4 linked regions of the Caenorhabditis elegans genome follow. The protein of the gene in region 4 purifies or fractionates together with the protein of the main gene of each other region. This does not show direct contact. Each region holds a gene or a part of one and is shown on either strand. Other genes may lie near its edges. The genes, in order: nfu-1, acs-14, ZK550.6 and osm-11.

Region 1 (3,223 bases), on a different chromosome or scaffold from region 4:
TCGTCACGATAAAATTTTGATAAATGCAAAAGTTGTTGTCTCATGTTTTTCTGAAGATTTTTGTATTTTGATTTCAAAATGTAGTTTGTTTAATAAATAAAAAAACATATTTTTCTCGAAAAACTATGAAGAATTGACCGCAGCAAATAAAGTTTGGATATACAGTTCACTTTAAAGGCGCGTACCTTCCGCATTTATTAAAATGATGTCGTTCAGAAACCGAACCAGCCGCAAAAATAGCAAAATTCCGCGTCTGGATAACATTGAAAATTCAAAAACTTGAAAAAAAAACTAACATGAATCAAGCTTTTCTTCTTATACGCAGATACTCCTAAATTTAAAATAATAGCGACGAGAAGAATTTGTTTCAACATTTTGAGCAGCACTCTGACTGATTTCTTATCAATTTACGAAGCACAATTTTCCACTTTTCCGGGTGATAAGTCTTTTAACTGATATCACTGATTTGGACTGGGCCGTTGAACTTTGACGTGATTCGATGATTTCAGAGTCATAAACCAATTCTACTAATACGACTTTCAAAGTAATAAAAAAGTTTTTATAAATATTCATTGAACATTTATCTCTAGCAGCAAACACTAATAAAAACAAATCTAGTTATACACGAATCAATTATCAATTAGTCTTTGATTCCTTTTGATTGCTCAAATTTCTTCAACTCTTGTTCCACAAGATCATCGGATTCATCCTTAACTTCGATAACTTCCTTCACTTCAGGCACGTAGAATGTGAGCATATTCTCAATTCCATTTTTTAAAGTGACTCCAGAGCTTGGACATCCTGTGCATGAACCTTGCATCTTCAATTTGACAACACCATCGTCAAAACCAACATAAGTGATATCTCCACCATCTTCTTGTACCATTGGTCTGATACGTGTCTCTAGAATTTCTTTGATCATCATTACAACTTCATCATCTTCTTCCACTTGGTCGGAAACAGTTGCAGCTTCATTTATGACAGGTTTTCCGGTTTGAATGTGATCAGCAATTGTTGAGAAGATTTCCGGACGGAGGAGAGCCCAGTCAACAGTCTCATCTGATTTCGTGACAGTTACAAAATCTTCTCCGAAGAACACACGCTTCACTCCGTCGACTCGAAGAAGTTTTCTGAAAATTTACAAATAAATACTATTTTATCTGAATGGTAGTTAAAATTTGGAATATTCCTTACATAGCAAGTGGACTTTGTTTTGCTGTAGCCGCTGAGCTGAAATCGTATGTTTTCGAGGCGTCTGGGAGAAGCTGTTGACCTGAAATACTACATTTCAGATTTTAAACAGTGAAGTTTCCACTAACCAGGTAAAAATTTTAAAGAAAGTGGATTAGGTGTCTCCTGAACTTGAATATACATTGATCGAGCTGAAATTTTAAAAAATGAAAGAATTTCTGGAACCAGTATCACCTGCTTGTACAAAGCTCCGGTTCAGTCTTGTGAGCATTTTTGATGAAATCATTTTTCTGAAAATTTTTGTTCTTTCAACATCTACCGACTTAATTCTCAAGATATAGGAATCAAAACCTCGAGTTGTACATTTCAATAGCCTAACCTGTATACTTTCAAGAATCACGATTCATGGATCAACATAAAGCGAAGAAAGTCATAATTAATTAGCAATGAAATAAATGCCCAGGTTTCATATGAAACAACGAGTAAAACATCAAAAGTGAAAAATAAGACACACTTTTCAATAAAGGGAAGAAAAAGTTGGGACCATTTGACATCCGTCTCAAATACATATGTGTTGTGTTGGAAGACTTGAAAAATAACCGAAAAAAAAGAAGTAGTATGTCGGGGGAGATATAAAAAGAACAAAAAATGGGTAAACGGGAATAATTTGGACAGAAGAGTACAATTTCCACAAGGCTGAGCTCGCAAGAAAACACTTGCTAGGGATGGGAAAGATCGAACATTTGAGAGTTGAAAGAAAAAATGGACCAAAAAAGGCTAGATTTAAAATGAAGAAAAAGTGTTACAAAACCCGGAACGAGGAGACGAAATAAAGAAAAATGGATGCAATTCAACCGGGAAGACATATTGTTTCACGGTTGAATAAAAAACAAGTAAACACCGAATTATTATGAGGGGAGGGGGGACTAATTGACAAGAAGACGATTTTGTGAGCGATATCTACCAGTTGGAAGACCATTTATTTGACGAGGATGACTGATGATTTTGTTGGCCAGATGCAGACTGCTGTTGCTGTCCAAGTCGGTTCCAATCCATTCTGTAATAAATAAACAAATATTTAATTAGAAATCGTAGAACTTACGCTTGAGGCATCTGACCGTAAGGCTGTTGCTGTGAACTCTGTCCGTATTGCTGATACATTTGCTGCATAGAAGTTCGAGATGGGTTCGTCGTGGAAGATGCATTTCCAAGAGAAGAGAATCCAGGTGGAGCTTGTGGAGCAACAAATGGTGGCGGTTGGGGCCGAGGTTGGATCATTCCGAGTCGCGATTGATTTGCAGAAGCGTTGCTGGGAGCTCCGAACGGCTGTGGCTGTTGAGAGTTATGCATGAACGATTGTTGTGCGAGTCCTTGTTTCTTCTGTTGTTGTTGTTGCTCGAGAATAGCAGCAATAACGCCATCAGAGTCATTCTAAATTTCCATTCATTAATTTTTAAACTGATCCTGCTATCTTAACATCAAATTTGTCCTAAACTTACATTAAATCCATCAAATTGCTTTATTCCTCTCTGTGACAATGACGGCATGCTAATTTGCCCTAAAACACTGGCATCCGTATACGAAGGTGATGGATAGTAGCTATTTGCAAGTTGACTACTTGTTGGACCAGGTGCTCCTGTAGAACTCTCTTGATGAGTCAATAATTGGGCGGCAAGCTGCAAATAAATCAAATAACGTATTTTCAGACATAAATCACGGATCCCTACATGGTTATACAGATTGGATCCCTGTCCATCTTGACCTAGCGACTGCATCTGATTGTAAAGTTGCTGCTGCTGTTGTTGTGATTGTAGCATTGAAAACTTTGAAGACATCAAGTCACTTGGTTGCTGAGAACTTTGAGACTGATGCTGTTGGTATTGTTGCTGGAATTGCTGAATCCTTTGCTGTTGTTGTTGTAGTGCTTGCTGCTGTTGAAGGTGTTGAATTTGCTGTTGTTGTTGCTGTTGAATATTCGTGGAAGTGCTATTAGCAACAGAATTCGATTGAGATCTTGCAAACAGGGGTGGTT
Region 2 (4,795 bases), on a different chromosome or scaffold from region 4:
TACATATTCAGCTGTTCACTTACTAGTAAAAGTCATGAATAAAACTATTTGCATAAGGGCAATTTATTTTCACATGAACATATTTTTTTCCATTCCCATGTTCCGATAGTCAACTTCATATTCTCAACCAACTATTCCCATTTTCCTCTTCTGCTATTTCAACCATCAATGATTTTTCCTGTATTTCTTCTAGTTTCCATTATTTTTCCACTCATCTTCTGCCAATGCCGTGATCTTCATCCAAACTGTGATTTGTTCAAAACTCTTGATCTTTGTACATCAGTTAGTTCTCAAAAAGCAATCATGAAATACAATTGTGCGTCTTCTTGTGGATTTTGTGGAAAGCAAGCCGGAAGTTGTGTGGATCGTTTGTCAAACTGTGCCGATTATAAATCTTCAGGACTTTGTGAAACTGATGATAAGCTACGTATTGAATATGCTTGCCCAGTTACTTGTAATGTTTGTTCTACTCCTGTATAATCATTCAATTACTTTGAGAAAAAACCATGAAAAATTAATATCAATAAAGTTAATGTACAAAAAAACATTTAAAGCTTGGCTGAAGAACGATCTCTCAAGAATCGTCTCAAAATCTTTCCAGCTGCGGACTTTGGAATTTCTTCAATAAATTCGACACCACCTTCGAGTTGTTTGTAAGGAGACACTTTTGCTGAAAGTATTATAGTTATACAGAAAATGCACTATTCATAACTTACGTTTAACAAAGTCCTTAACTTCTTGTTCAGTGAGAGTGTTATCAGCTCTTACAACAAATGCTTTAGGTAATTCTCCAGCTTTAGCATCTGGGATTCCAATAACTGCACAATCTCTAATCTTTGGATGAGATAGAAGAAGATCTTCAAGTTCAGCTGGTGGTACTTGAAGCCCTTTGACCTTGATTAGCTCTTTAAGTCGATCAACAATAAACAAATTTCCATCCTCATTGAGATAACCAATGTCTCCAGTGTGAAGCCATCCATCGATGACAGTGCTGGCTGTTGCTTCTGGTCTTCCGAGATACCCAAGCATAATTGTTGGACCACGAACACAAATTTCTCCTCGTTGGTTAACCGGTTGCTCTCTGTCGGTTCCTGGTTCCACAATCTGAATAACTTTTGTATAAATTGAATACTTTTGTTTCCTTTTAAACATTGAAAAACTTGATTCGGAAATTCTCACCTTCATAACCAAATTTGAAGCAAGTTTTCCAACGGATCCATATGGTTGATCATTTCTTAAATCAGGAAGATGACTAGCCATTGAACATTCCGTCATTCCATATCCTTGTTGGATGTATTTCAAATTTGTATACTTCCTCTTCAATTCTTCAATCAAATCCTTTCCAGCTGGAGCTGCTCCCGCCATTATCATTTGCACTGATGATAGATCAAACTTATCGCAAATTGGATGCTTGGCCAAGAAAACCATAATTGGTGGAACTAGGCAAAGACAGCGGACCTAAAGAATTAAATTAAAAATGTTATTTATGAACTTTTGATTCTATACTTTGTAGTTTTGAACGGCAGTCAAAAAATTATTCGGCTCAAAATGGCTCATGACAATTCCAGTCATTCCCTTGAGAAGACAGTGATTAAGAAGACCAAATCCATAGACATGATAGAATGGAAGAAACAAGAGAGCTTTCTCATTGTAGCAGTCCCAATTTGGATCAAGAACATCCAAAATGTGTGATTTATCAATTCTGAAAGTTGTGTCGTATATGAACCTAATTATATTTTCGTTTTTTTTCAATTACTTTTCAAAAAATGTACATAACGTTATACTGATTCTTCTGTATTGATCTATGAAATTGTTTTCTTGGCCCTTATCTTTTTTTGCGTCATAGGAAGGTTAAAGTGTAACCATTTTACTGTTAACTTTGTACTTTCACACCTATTCTGTCTCATCATCATCATCTTTAAATTTCAAACTTACGCAAGATACATGGAGATCATGGATGTAAAATTGTAGTGTGATAGCATAACACCCTTTGGTGGTCCAGTGGTACCACTCGAGTATGGAAGAACGAGTAAATCATTGTGAACATCAATTGGAACTTGTGGTAGAGCAGTGACTGGAGTTGAAACCACTTCATTCCAAGATACAACTCCTGCTGGAAGAGAAGATCCAACTGGTTTTGGGATGACAATGATCTTTTGGATGTTTGGCGATTGCTTCACAGCAAGAAGAACTTTTGGAAGAAAATCTTCGTAAGTAAAAACAACCTTTGCGCGAGAATCAACAAATTGACGTTGAAGCTCATCTGAAAACAGAAATTGCGGGTTGGTGAAAGTAACTTTCATCAATTTAACTTACAGTCAGTGAAAAGTGCACTAGCTCCAGATACAGCTCCACCGTTGATGGCACATCCAATGAAAAATGAAGTATAGTGCCAGACGTTTGGAAGAACAACAGCAGCAACATCTTTCTAAAAGATATCAAAAATTTAAGGCATTGTCTTGAACAAATTGAAAGATTTTTGAAATACTTCCTTTCTCTTGTTGAATTATAAAATTCCCAAATTTTTAACATAATGCCACATACCTTGAACCCAATGCTATGAAGATACATAGCGACAGCAAAAGCATCCTTACGAAGTTGTTCAAAAGTAATGAAATGTTTTGGATTATCTCCGCTCACAAATGCAATTTTATTCTTTCCATCGGCAATTGTTTTATCAATTGCATCAAGGAGCATCTCATGGTACGGACGCTCGGAAATCTTCACTGGTGGATATGTAGAGTCGTGTGGCATGGCTGAAGTTTGAAAAATAAATGAATTTAGCAATAACAATCAAAATATAAGAACTGGGCAAGAGGACAGCATGGGTAGCCTACAGTGTGGCCGAAGGTCAATTTAGAAAAAGATAGAGACTGATAAAGACGACAGTTGATAATAGTAAATAGGAAAACTACAGTGCTTAGACGTTATAATGTGGTCCATTTATTGTAGTCTTTGTTTTTTGGCAATTTATAACATTGATTCAACTGTTGAGGAAAAACCGTTAGAAAATTAAAAAAAAAACCACATGAGCGCGGGAAATACTTATCATTTCAGTTTCCGATGCTCATAATCCTAGACAATTTCAGTTAATACTCAATGAAGACAACGAAAGAAAAAGAATAAATGTACACAAAAAGGGCATATTAATGATAAGGGTTGCAAAACGAAAAATGGGCTATGAACAATAAAATAAAAGATCTGTAATCGTAATCAGATGTTTTTAAAGATCTGAAACTTGGATTGTACGTCATTGATCATATTAAAAAGATGCTCAAAACAAGGAAGTACTGGCCAAATTTCAACAATCAAAGTTCTCGTGACGATTTGACAGTAAAAAATGAGGTATTGTGAACATTTTCTAAATTATAGTTTTTTTCCAACCGAGAAGTTATTTTAAGTTATTATTTTCAATCTTCCCCATCAAATTTAAAAACAACCCCTTTGAAAATTACGGCTAAAAGGCATTTATTATTTTTCTGCTAAAAAATTTTCGGAATGAGTTAACGTTTTTTTTTCTAATGAAATAGAAATCATACTAAAAATAGTTATGTAAACTAACTACAAAACAAAAATTGGATTCTTTGTATTTTTAACCAATTTTACAGTTTTTACAGTGACATAATTTCCTGAAACGAACAACGAGGTCTGAAAGTACAAATTTTCTGAAGCTTTGAAGAACATGATGGTTTTGCTGAACCGACAGCGTGTGTTACACGAGACATTTGACATCGATGATAATGAAACGGAATTGATGTTATCAGTTGGCCACGATTGCATGTCATTCATTTTGTTATAAATCAAAATTGAAATTACATTTTGGAATAAAGATAGAAATATTGAAAAAAGCATTCATTCAATCAGCCTATATGGAAATTGACTTTTACAAAATTGAAAAAAAAAATTATGCTGGCATTCTGATGGTGATAGCAAATCCTCCTTTGACATTAAGAAGACACCTAAAACAAAATTATTTCAAAGAACCTATAATTCCGTATTCTTACTTTGTGTTCGGTTTTATCCTAACCATGGTCTCCGATTTCATTGCATAAGTGAACCCGCTCTCTTCTACGACCGCAAATGTGTTTTCCTAAATGATACATGAATTTTTTTTGGGATTTTTCTGTTTTTGCCATACCTGCAACCAAATTAGCAACTCTACAGTTCCACTTTCCAAATCATAAGATCCCTCTCCTAGCAACATAACTTCAGTTTTGTACTCAGGTGCTCCATAAATTCTCACTGGTCCGTTTCTGAAAACTTCTCAAATTAACTATCCGAAACAAAACCAACTAATTTCTTACTTCACTTCACTGATATGATCATAGATAAATTCTTTTCTATTAATAGGTACGGGTAAATCAGTCCATCTTGCTTCGTATGGAGCATTGCATGCAAATGTTCCTTTTCCTGGTTTACCTGAAACAAAAAATCGGTGAGCTCACACAACTACAAACCAACCAGTTTTGAATTCATTCGATCCATAAAATTCTTTGATTAATGGAGGTAAATCCTTGACAACATCAGTCAAATAGAACCATCTTTCAAAGAGTGTGATATTGGAAGAACCAACAAGAAATCGAACACAATCAAATTCAGTATTCTTTCGTTCACGTTCAACGACAAGACCAATAGAGTTGGAAAATCTTTGAGGTGAATGTTCTACTCTTGCTGGCAACATGAACATTTCCCCTGAAAAATAGAGAGCTCAATTTTGAGTTTTGATTCAGATTATCTAACATTTGTGAAAAAAATAATTCCAAAAAATTTTTGACAACACAGATTTAGTTTCCGT
Region 3 (4,302 bases), on a different chromosome or scaffold from region 4:
GAATATTCCAGAATACAGTGTTCTATCGAGTTTTTAAACTGATTTAGAGCATTCCATAATTTTGTCAAAGTTTCCAGCAGATTATAGAGCGTTCCAAAATTTTCTAAAATTTTTCAACTTCTCAATTTTTAGGAGGTCCTAGAACAATTCAAAATTTTCTGGAATTCGTCAAAATGTCCTAGAACATTCCAGAAATTACAATCAAAACGTGAAACTCGTAGCTATTTTTTTTTTGGTCGACATCCAAAATACGGATAAGTGAAAACTGGTTTTTTACGTCTTTTTTTTCTGAAAGTTTTATAAATTCAATAAACTAATATCTGACATCAAAACAAATAAATATTTTAACGCATTTCTGTAATTAATTCTCGTTTAAATAGTTCTGAGTTCTGAGCTTCTGCCCAAGTCTCGCTTATTTTTAGTACTCATTTGGAATTCAATGTAGCAATATTATCAAAGTTAGTGGGAAAAAAATTGTGCAAAAAAATGTTTTGACGAAATTGTTCACGTATTTATGATTTGTTTTTTTTTCAAAAATTCAAGAAAAAACTCGCTTTCAAAATGTTAATTTATTAACTGAAATACATTACAAAAATTATCGACAAACTCTGATCGATTTCACAGTTTTAAACATAAAAATCACAAATTAGATCTGCGCCCATTGACCTCTCTGGCGCGAACCCTCCAAATGTCCGCGAAATCCAAGGTTACAGTATTCGGGTCGAGACCATATCTTGTCAGACGCTTCTTGGCGATTTCGATGATCTCCTCTGCCAATGTCTCTTGAGTTGTACCCTCGACGTTTACATAACGGCAGAGGTCGTCATTTGCGTAGTGACAGGAGATCGCTTTGCGGAATCCTGAAAAAAATTTTGTTTTGCACCGAAACTCCCGTGTCCAACGCATTTTTGTAGCTGGGAGTTCTCAATTTAAGAAGAATTTGAACTTTTAAAAATAAATTAGTATTTACTGCGAATTTTCATTTTTTGTATAAAAACATTGAAACAGTAACGAAAGGATGGGAAAATTTGTGTTAGAAGCAAAAATATCTTTTTTAGAAGAGTTTACCGACAATTGTGAGATTCATAGTTTTTATATCAAAGCATTGAAACAGTAATTTCTTGTTTAATTTTTTCCAAAGTTTCAAAAATGGTTACCTTCAGTTCTATTGGCTCCGGAACCATGAATAAGAATTGGATGAAAGAATACGGTATCTCCGGGTTCCATTTCCACGTGGATACGTGGCGTCGACGTGTCATAGTCCTGGATTCCGTGATAGGCTTTGTTCACACCACCCTGAAAATAAGGAACTTTTTGAGAGCGAACTTCAGACGTGGACTTATGCGCAAGCTTAAACCTAGTCTTCGGGTAATCCTGAAGCTTAGACTTACGCTTAAGCTCGGGCTCAAGCTTAGGCTTTTTCTCTGTCAAATATTAGCTCGCTCGTTTAGCTGTTTTTTTCTCAAATTTTCTCAAATTACTTAATTTCAAGTTTTCAAACAAGAATTCAACGTGGTAAATAGCTCTGCCAAAACCAAACCAAACCAAAACTCAGCTTAGCGGACTTACCTCCCATTTCGGGTACTCGTGTGGCAAAAGAACACCTTTATGAGTTCCGGGAACAACAACCAGACATCCATTTGCTCTTGTGATCTTCTCCATTGCGGTCCAAGCACAACAAATAAAATCTGCTGGACGGAATGGGAAATATTGAAGATCTTGGTGCATTGGGTGCCGGGATGTTAGTTTTCCTTAAATATGATAATTAGAACTTGATTATTAAATGTTCTGTAATTTTGTTCTGTGAACGATATAAGCAGTAAACTTCTCAAAATACTTTCATTTTTTGAACCGATTTTGAAACAGTAGAAAATTTTGAATTTTTTTCAAAATTTTTTTGAATTACTGATTTTCGAATTTTCACAACTCTTTATAGACTATTCAAGATATTTTACGTTCTTCAATTTTTTTACAGTTAGGAGTGTGGTTTGGCAAAACAAATAACAATTTAAGATAATTTTGGACATGTTTCATAATTATCAAAAAAAAATTTGTTTCAAACTTTTTTATTTAACGTGTCTTATTTTAATTAACATTTTCTAGTAAATCCTAATACAATTTAAAGTTCAAAACTTACCATTATCTGGTGGTTTATTGATAAGCATTGTATGCATTGCCATCAAATTCGACTTTGGATTTCCAATCAAGTCCTTCACCACATCGACAACTCCCGGATACTTACAGTACTCAAAAAGAACTGGATCATCTGCAAAATCCTGGATCTTGGTGATCGCCTTCTCACCGTCTTTGAATTCGGATTTTGCGATGGAAATGTCTTTCATGACGGTCATGTTTTCTGGAGCTTTTACTTTTTTCTCGCAAATGTCCTGAAAATACATTTTTAGAAAATTGTGACGTCACAACTTTGTAAAAAAATTCGTTGCAGTCAGGTTGAAAAATACTTCGACGCAAAATTAAAAATTGTCGAAATAAAACTGAAACTTTAGGCCCCATCAATTTTTGTGGACTATTAATCCCAGCCTATAGTCAAAAATTATGCAGCCGGGCGCATTTGCTCACCTGAAATCTTTGTCGGAACCTGTTCAATTCGTACTGTGGAACACAGTTTCGAATCAACAGATATCCATTTTTCTCGTAGAATCGCCTCTGCTCGGCACTCAAAATTGACCCTTCCCGGGTATAATCAACGACACCTTTGCCAAGCATTTGGGGAGCCTGGAATTTTGAAGTAGATTATGGAATCGCTTTACGTTTAGACGTCATAGTGATATTCTCAAAAATTAGGCAAAAAATATCGTATTTTTGAAACAGTAAATTTATTTGAAAACTAGCTGCTGATCGCGCCTCCGGCGCGGAAGAAAAAACCACCAAAATATTTCTGAAGAAATTTGAATTTGCACCAAAATTTTTCTGAACAAATTTGAAATCCCACCAAAATTTTCAGAAGAAATTTGAATTCCCGCTAAAATTTTTCTGAAGAAATTTGAGTTTGCACCAAAATTTTTCTGAAGAAATTTGAATTTGCGCCAAAATGGGTCTCATGCGTTGTGACGTCACGGAAACAAACAGACAAACGGAAAAAACTAACACCCTATTTTTTTAAAATATATAAGTAATGATCACTACACTAACACAATGTGAATTGGAAGGAATGAAAATTGTTATAAAATTAGTGAAACAGTGAAAATTTTACATTCATTATTAAAATCGGTATTGTCTATAAATTGACCGAAATTTTTTAAATTGTTTTGAACAATTAGAACAGTACCGAAAAAAATGAAACTTAATGTTTAAACATCACGATATTTTTTATCGATATTATTATCATAACATGTTATTGTGACTACAAAATTAACAAAATATATGAGGTACATTTACCTAGTTTTGGAACAGGAAAGAGAATCGGATCATTTCCTATTATCATCCAATGCAATATATGATAAGACAACTACAAATTGATCAAAATAGAATTTATAGGAAATATCCAAAAATTCCTGGTAATACTTCAATGTTTCTAGAAAAATTGTATACTAAATTTTTGAATTTAGAAGAATATATTTGAAACGGTAATTTTACAATTCAGAGTAAAAAACAACAATTCGTAAAACCTAAATAGCAAATTTTATAAAGTTATAGATTTTAATACTAAAATAGATTTGAACCTGTTTTGTTGAAACGATAGTTTTTTTTTAAATTTAAATACGACACTTTGGTGTTTTTTTTTAAATTATTATTTTGAAACAGCAATTTTTGAGGAGAACTGTATTTTGTCTAGATGTTTTTATTTTATTTCACTGAAACACAGATTTCGCGACAGTTCGAGCGGAATTTTTAGGTGAACATATTTTTTTAACACGTACGTCATAATGCAGGAAATTGAATTCAATTTTTTTGAAACAGTGAATTTTTTTTTGAAAATTGTATGAAGCCACAACTGCTATGAAGCATTATTTTTAAGAATTATGCTTTCAGGAAGCAGTAAAAACTTGGAACATCTATCAAATCAACAATAAAAGTGGAATCAACATGGATTATCTCAAATGACACGAACACAACACCGCAAAAAATGAGAAAAGCGAGGGAATTACCCGTCTTATCACCACGCTCTCTCATTGCATTTTCTTAATAAATACAAGTCTTGTTGAATAGAGAAATAAAGAAAAAAAGAGTGTCAATTGCCACAGTGTACCGTTATCGTACACCTTGACACCAGTTGTTGTCATGACCATATGATAAATGATTAGAGATTGAGAAACACACATTTTTCAAATTTGGCACGTT
Region 4 (3,358 bases):
CCGTTTACTCGACAGAAAGAAAATGATAGCTTGTTATTGTAGTATTCTAGTAATCACAACACAATAAAGACCAACTTTCAAAAGTTAGAACCCATACCACACCGCCACACCTTGTTTCCCTGCAAAAAGTCATTGTTTGTGCTGTGAAGTTGTTGACATATTCGAAAGGAGAACATGTTGTTTGAGGAGAAAAAGAAGAAGATACGACAATGATAATACTTCTCTCTGACACTGTCTTCAAAGAGCGAGCCATTTATCAAAAGAAACTTCATCACCGAATCTCGTTCTATCGTAATCATACATCAGAAGCCCACGGTGTAGACGGCGATGGTGGTGACAGGAGAAGAAGGAAGAGGAAGAACGGAGAAGAAGACGCGACGTCGAAAGACGATTTTTGTTAAGCGTTTGATCGTACGACACTCTCAGATAGTCTATTTTCGGAGAAGACAAAGATGTATTGCTTTCTTCTTTTTTCCTTCTTTAGAAGATTGTTACTGTATCTGTTTTAAACCATGTTTAACTATTTTTGCATTGTCAATGAAAAGAACAAGAAGATATGAAAGAGAAGAGTCGTCTTTATTAAACGTTATCAACTGAATTCCTTAATCAGAAAATCAAGCACTGGGCCAAACGTTTTTCAGGGGAGGGTACACAGTACTGAGACAAATCATTTACGGATCAGGTAAATTCAGGATTGAAGCACAAAAGAGCACATAAGCGGAGGTATGGACGAAATTAATCAGTTATCCAGCGATACTTTCCATCCAATTCGCTGCGATAACTGATTAACCAGTTATCTAGCTATTTTAGCTATTTTTTAATAAGCTTTCGAAAAATGTACACGATTCAAGATATCGAGATCTTAAATAGCTTAGCGAATCGGTAGGAGGGGCCAAAAAGAGAAAAAAAAATAAAAAATTAAATAATTGCACTAGGGTGCGAGCTCATAGAAAACAATTAGAGGGAAATTTGGGGGAGGAGTGAGAAAAGAAAAAAAACAAATGTTAAAAGTAGGTAGGTCCCACCTAGGCAAAAACGATTGCATGTCTTAAAGGCCCCCTATAGAGGAACGGCTTTGCTATTTACAATATTAACAACAACGCTTAATACTGCACTGGAGTGAACATGGTGCACTTGGAGTACCAACGTTGGCAAGTCTCGGCCATGGCAGCGGAAGATGGTGGGTTGCACATTTGATGGACCTTTGGATGAGTGTGGGCGCACTTGCACTCGTCGGTGCAGTGAGCGGCGGTGCATTCTGGAGTGCAGGTGGCTACGATGGCGGCGGTGAGACGGGTGGTCTGTGGAGCGGTTCTTGAGGAGTGGATGTGGGCTGGCTTGCGCTCATCGGCGATTGGCAAATCGAGGCTGGCAAAGTCGGATCCTCTTGGAAGGACTGGTGGCATAACGAGTGGTGAGCCGAGGTCTGGAAGCTCGACGAGTCCGGCCTTTCCAACGGCACAGTGCTTTTCGTAGGCTGGGCAGAACTTGGCAACCTTTCCAAAGAGAGCACGGTCAATTGGTCCAGCGTTGTCTCCACAGTATTTGTTGTAGTGGTCAAGATGCTTGATGCAATAACGTTCGGACATCTCCTCATTGCGACGAACACGGGCAGGGTTGGCTGAAAATACAAAGAATGATGTAATTGTCTAATATCTTTGAAAGTTATCGAATGTTCTCTATAGTTTTGTAAATGTGCTCACCTTGTGCCAAGACCATAACGATAGCGAGAGCGGCGACGGTAATAAAGTTCATTTTTGGAAACGGTGTTTTTTTGAGATTCAATTGCTTGATCTCGCAAGTCGAAACTGCGTACTGCCTATCTGAAATCGGCGCCTTTTATGCGTTCGCGTGAACTCCGCCCCACAATACCGCCCTTCCTTGTCTGTGAGAGTCGTCGGAAGCGGCGCGGGGCGCGCGTCCCGCCCCCTAGGAACTTTGAAGATTGCCTCGCGGTGGGGAGAAGGACGCCGAATAAACTGATTGTTCTAAAAATATCATCAGGGCCGAAGGAGGGAAAGAAGGATTGAAGTATCGGCGACTAACGGAATTGAGAAATAGCAGCACCGGTGTAGAGGGTTTCGTGGTTTTCGGCGGATGATGGATGGGATCTCTAATGATCGCCCTGTGGTTAGAGTGATGGAGAAGCCAGTGTCGCACACAGTTTTCTGAAGATGAGAAGATAGTGGTCGAAAAATGATAATGATGATGATGATGATGTGAGGAAAGATGTATAAGACATCCGATGGGGGTACGTCGAGGTCGTCGATGTGTTTCGATCTTCAGCTACTACGCCGTTATCATGTACCCTGCACAGCGTCGGACACAAACATCTCCGTGGTGCGCGTAAACTCGACGACGACTCGTGATGGACGTCTAAAAAGGGATATGGGAGACAGAAATAATGCACCCGTTCTTTACGTGTTATCACTGCTTTAGAAATAAACTATTTTTAGTGTTTCCCTCGTTGTACGCAATCTTTATTCTTCACTTCACCATTTCATTACTTCATCATGCGGAACACAGACTACTGCTACACAAAAAAGTTATAGTCGTCACGTTTCTTAAACCTTTTTTTTTACTTTTTGATGGTTTTTGTTTTAGCGACTGACCAAAACAATCTTGCGGTCAAGGCTTTTTCAGTGTAAGTACGTTATGATAAGCTAGGAACAATGAAGTTTGGGAATTGAATGAGTTAATCATTCGACGAAGAATTATTTCGTAGTTGAACTATGTGTGGCTTCTAGCATAACGTCATTTCAAAAGAGTTATAGATGACGATTACTGTCAGATGTTCTTTACTCAAAGCTTTATTTTGTAACACCGTGTTTACCAAACCACTACTTTCAATTAAGCAAACATCCGTGCAACTGTCTTTCTTTTTCATTTCCATATCCTATTCAATAATACCGTAACAACTTCCTTGGCAAGAAACAGTTCTTTGATTCAGGTTTTTACTGTCCGGAATTAGCTGCCCAACTTGAGACATGAGACCAGAGACAAATGTTTTCTCCAAGTTAGAATTCGAAACACAGAAAAACTGTATTTTTCCCCTGTTACCCTAAAAAACATGCCCTTTGCTCCTTCCCTGTCATTCATTCATCAAGGCACTTCTAGAAACAACGTCTTGTTTCTCTTTTCGTGTGATGGATTGTGTACGACCTCCAACACCTTCCGTATCTCCTGACTTTTAATGGTTGAGGTTGCGTCTAAATTTGGAACAACTTTGAACATTTTGAGTGACATCTTTTGAATTTGATTCTAGATAAGCTTTTGATTTTTTTTTCATTTCTATCTTGACACTCTTGTTCTCCTTTCTGTCATCACGGTGTACATAGGAGAAAGCATGAGAAAGCAC

The links.
Region 1: the proteins of osm-11 (region 4) and nfu-1 fractionate together in Caenorhabditis elegans (co-fractionation; one large-scale study listed by BioGRID). This does not show direct contact.
Region 2: the proteins of osm-11 (region 4) and acs-14 fractionate together in Caenorhabditis elegans (co-fractionation; one large-scale study listed by BioGRID). This does not show direct contact.
Region 3: the proteins of osm-11 (region 4) and ZK550.6 fractionate together in Caenorhabditis elegans (co-fractionation; one large-scale study listed by BioGRID). This does not show direct contact.

Annotation. Positions count from the first base shown.
Region 1 is NC_003282.8:10,385,671-10,388,893, reverse strand, and holds nfu-1 (NFU1 iron-sulfur cluster scaffold homolog, mitochondrial), read right to left. Parts: upstream 1,482-3,223; 5' UTR 1,478-1,481; coding exon 1,426-1,477; intron 1,383-1,425; coding exon 1,320-1,382; intron 1,274-1,319; coding exon 1,195-1,273; intron 1,131-1,194; coding exon 641-1,130; 3' UTR 543-640; downstream 1-542. Other genes in the region: R10H10.3 (CUB domain-containing protein), read right to left, coding at 297-374; Ankyrin repeat and KH domain-containing protein mask-1, read right to left, coding at 2,152-2,248, 2,294-2,622, 2,691-2,867, 2,919-3,223.
Region 2 is NC_003283.11:9,506,093-9,510,887, reverse strand, and holds acs-14 (4-coumarate--CoA ligase), read right to left. Parts: upstream 2,757-4,795; 5' UTR 2,755-2,756; coding exon 2,545-2,754; intron 2,429-2,544; coding exon 2,317-2,428; intron 2,264-2,316; coding exon 1,936-2,263; intron 1,703-1,935; coding exon 1,507-1,702; intron 1,459-1,506; coding exon 1,180-1,458; intron 1,105-1,179; coding exon 717-1,104; intron 671-716; coding exon 549-670; 3' UTR 510-548; downstream 1-509. Other genes in the region: haao-1 (3-hydroxyanthranilate 3,4-dioxygenase), read right to left, coding at 3,905-3,959, 4,005-4,090, 4,139-4,253, 4,305-4,419, 4,462-4,692.
Region 3 is NC_003282.8:17,259,750-17,264,051, forward strand, and holds ZK550.6 (putative phytanoyl-CoA dioxygenase), read right to left. Parts: upstream 2,737-4,302; 5' UTR 2,728-2,736; coding exon 2,581-2,727; intron 2,388-2,580; coding exon 2,138-2,387; intron 2,118-2,137; exon of another isoform or gene 2,097-2,117; intron 1,820-2,096; exon of another isoform or gene 1,796-1,819; intron 1,752-1,795; coding exon 1,570-1,751; intron 1,297-1,569; coding exon 1,158-1,296; intron 861-1,157; coding exon 640-860; 3' UTR 558-639; downstream 1-557. UniProt on the Caenorhabditis elegans protein: Converts phytanoyl-CoA to 2-hydroxyphytanoyl-CoA.
Region 4 is NC_003284.9:17,419,653-17,423,010, forward strand, and holds osm-11 (Notch ligand osm-11), read right to left. Parts: upstream 1,817-3,358; 5' UTR 1,756-1,816; coding exon 1,704-1,755; intron 1,622-1,703; coding exon 1,104-1,621; 3' UTR 559-1,103; downstream 1-558. UniProt on the Caenorhabditis elegans protein: Probable secreted lin-12/Notch ligand or co-ligand involved in the mediation of Notch signaling. Involved in the lin-12/Notch pathway signaling of cell fate in vulval precursor cells (VPCs), acting redundantly with dsl-1 and lag-2.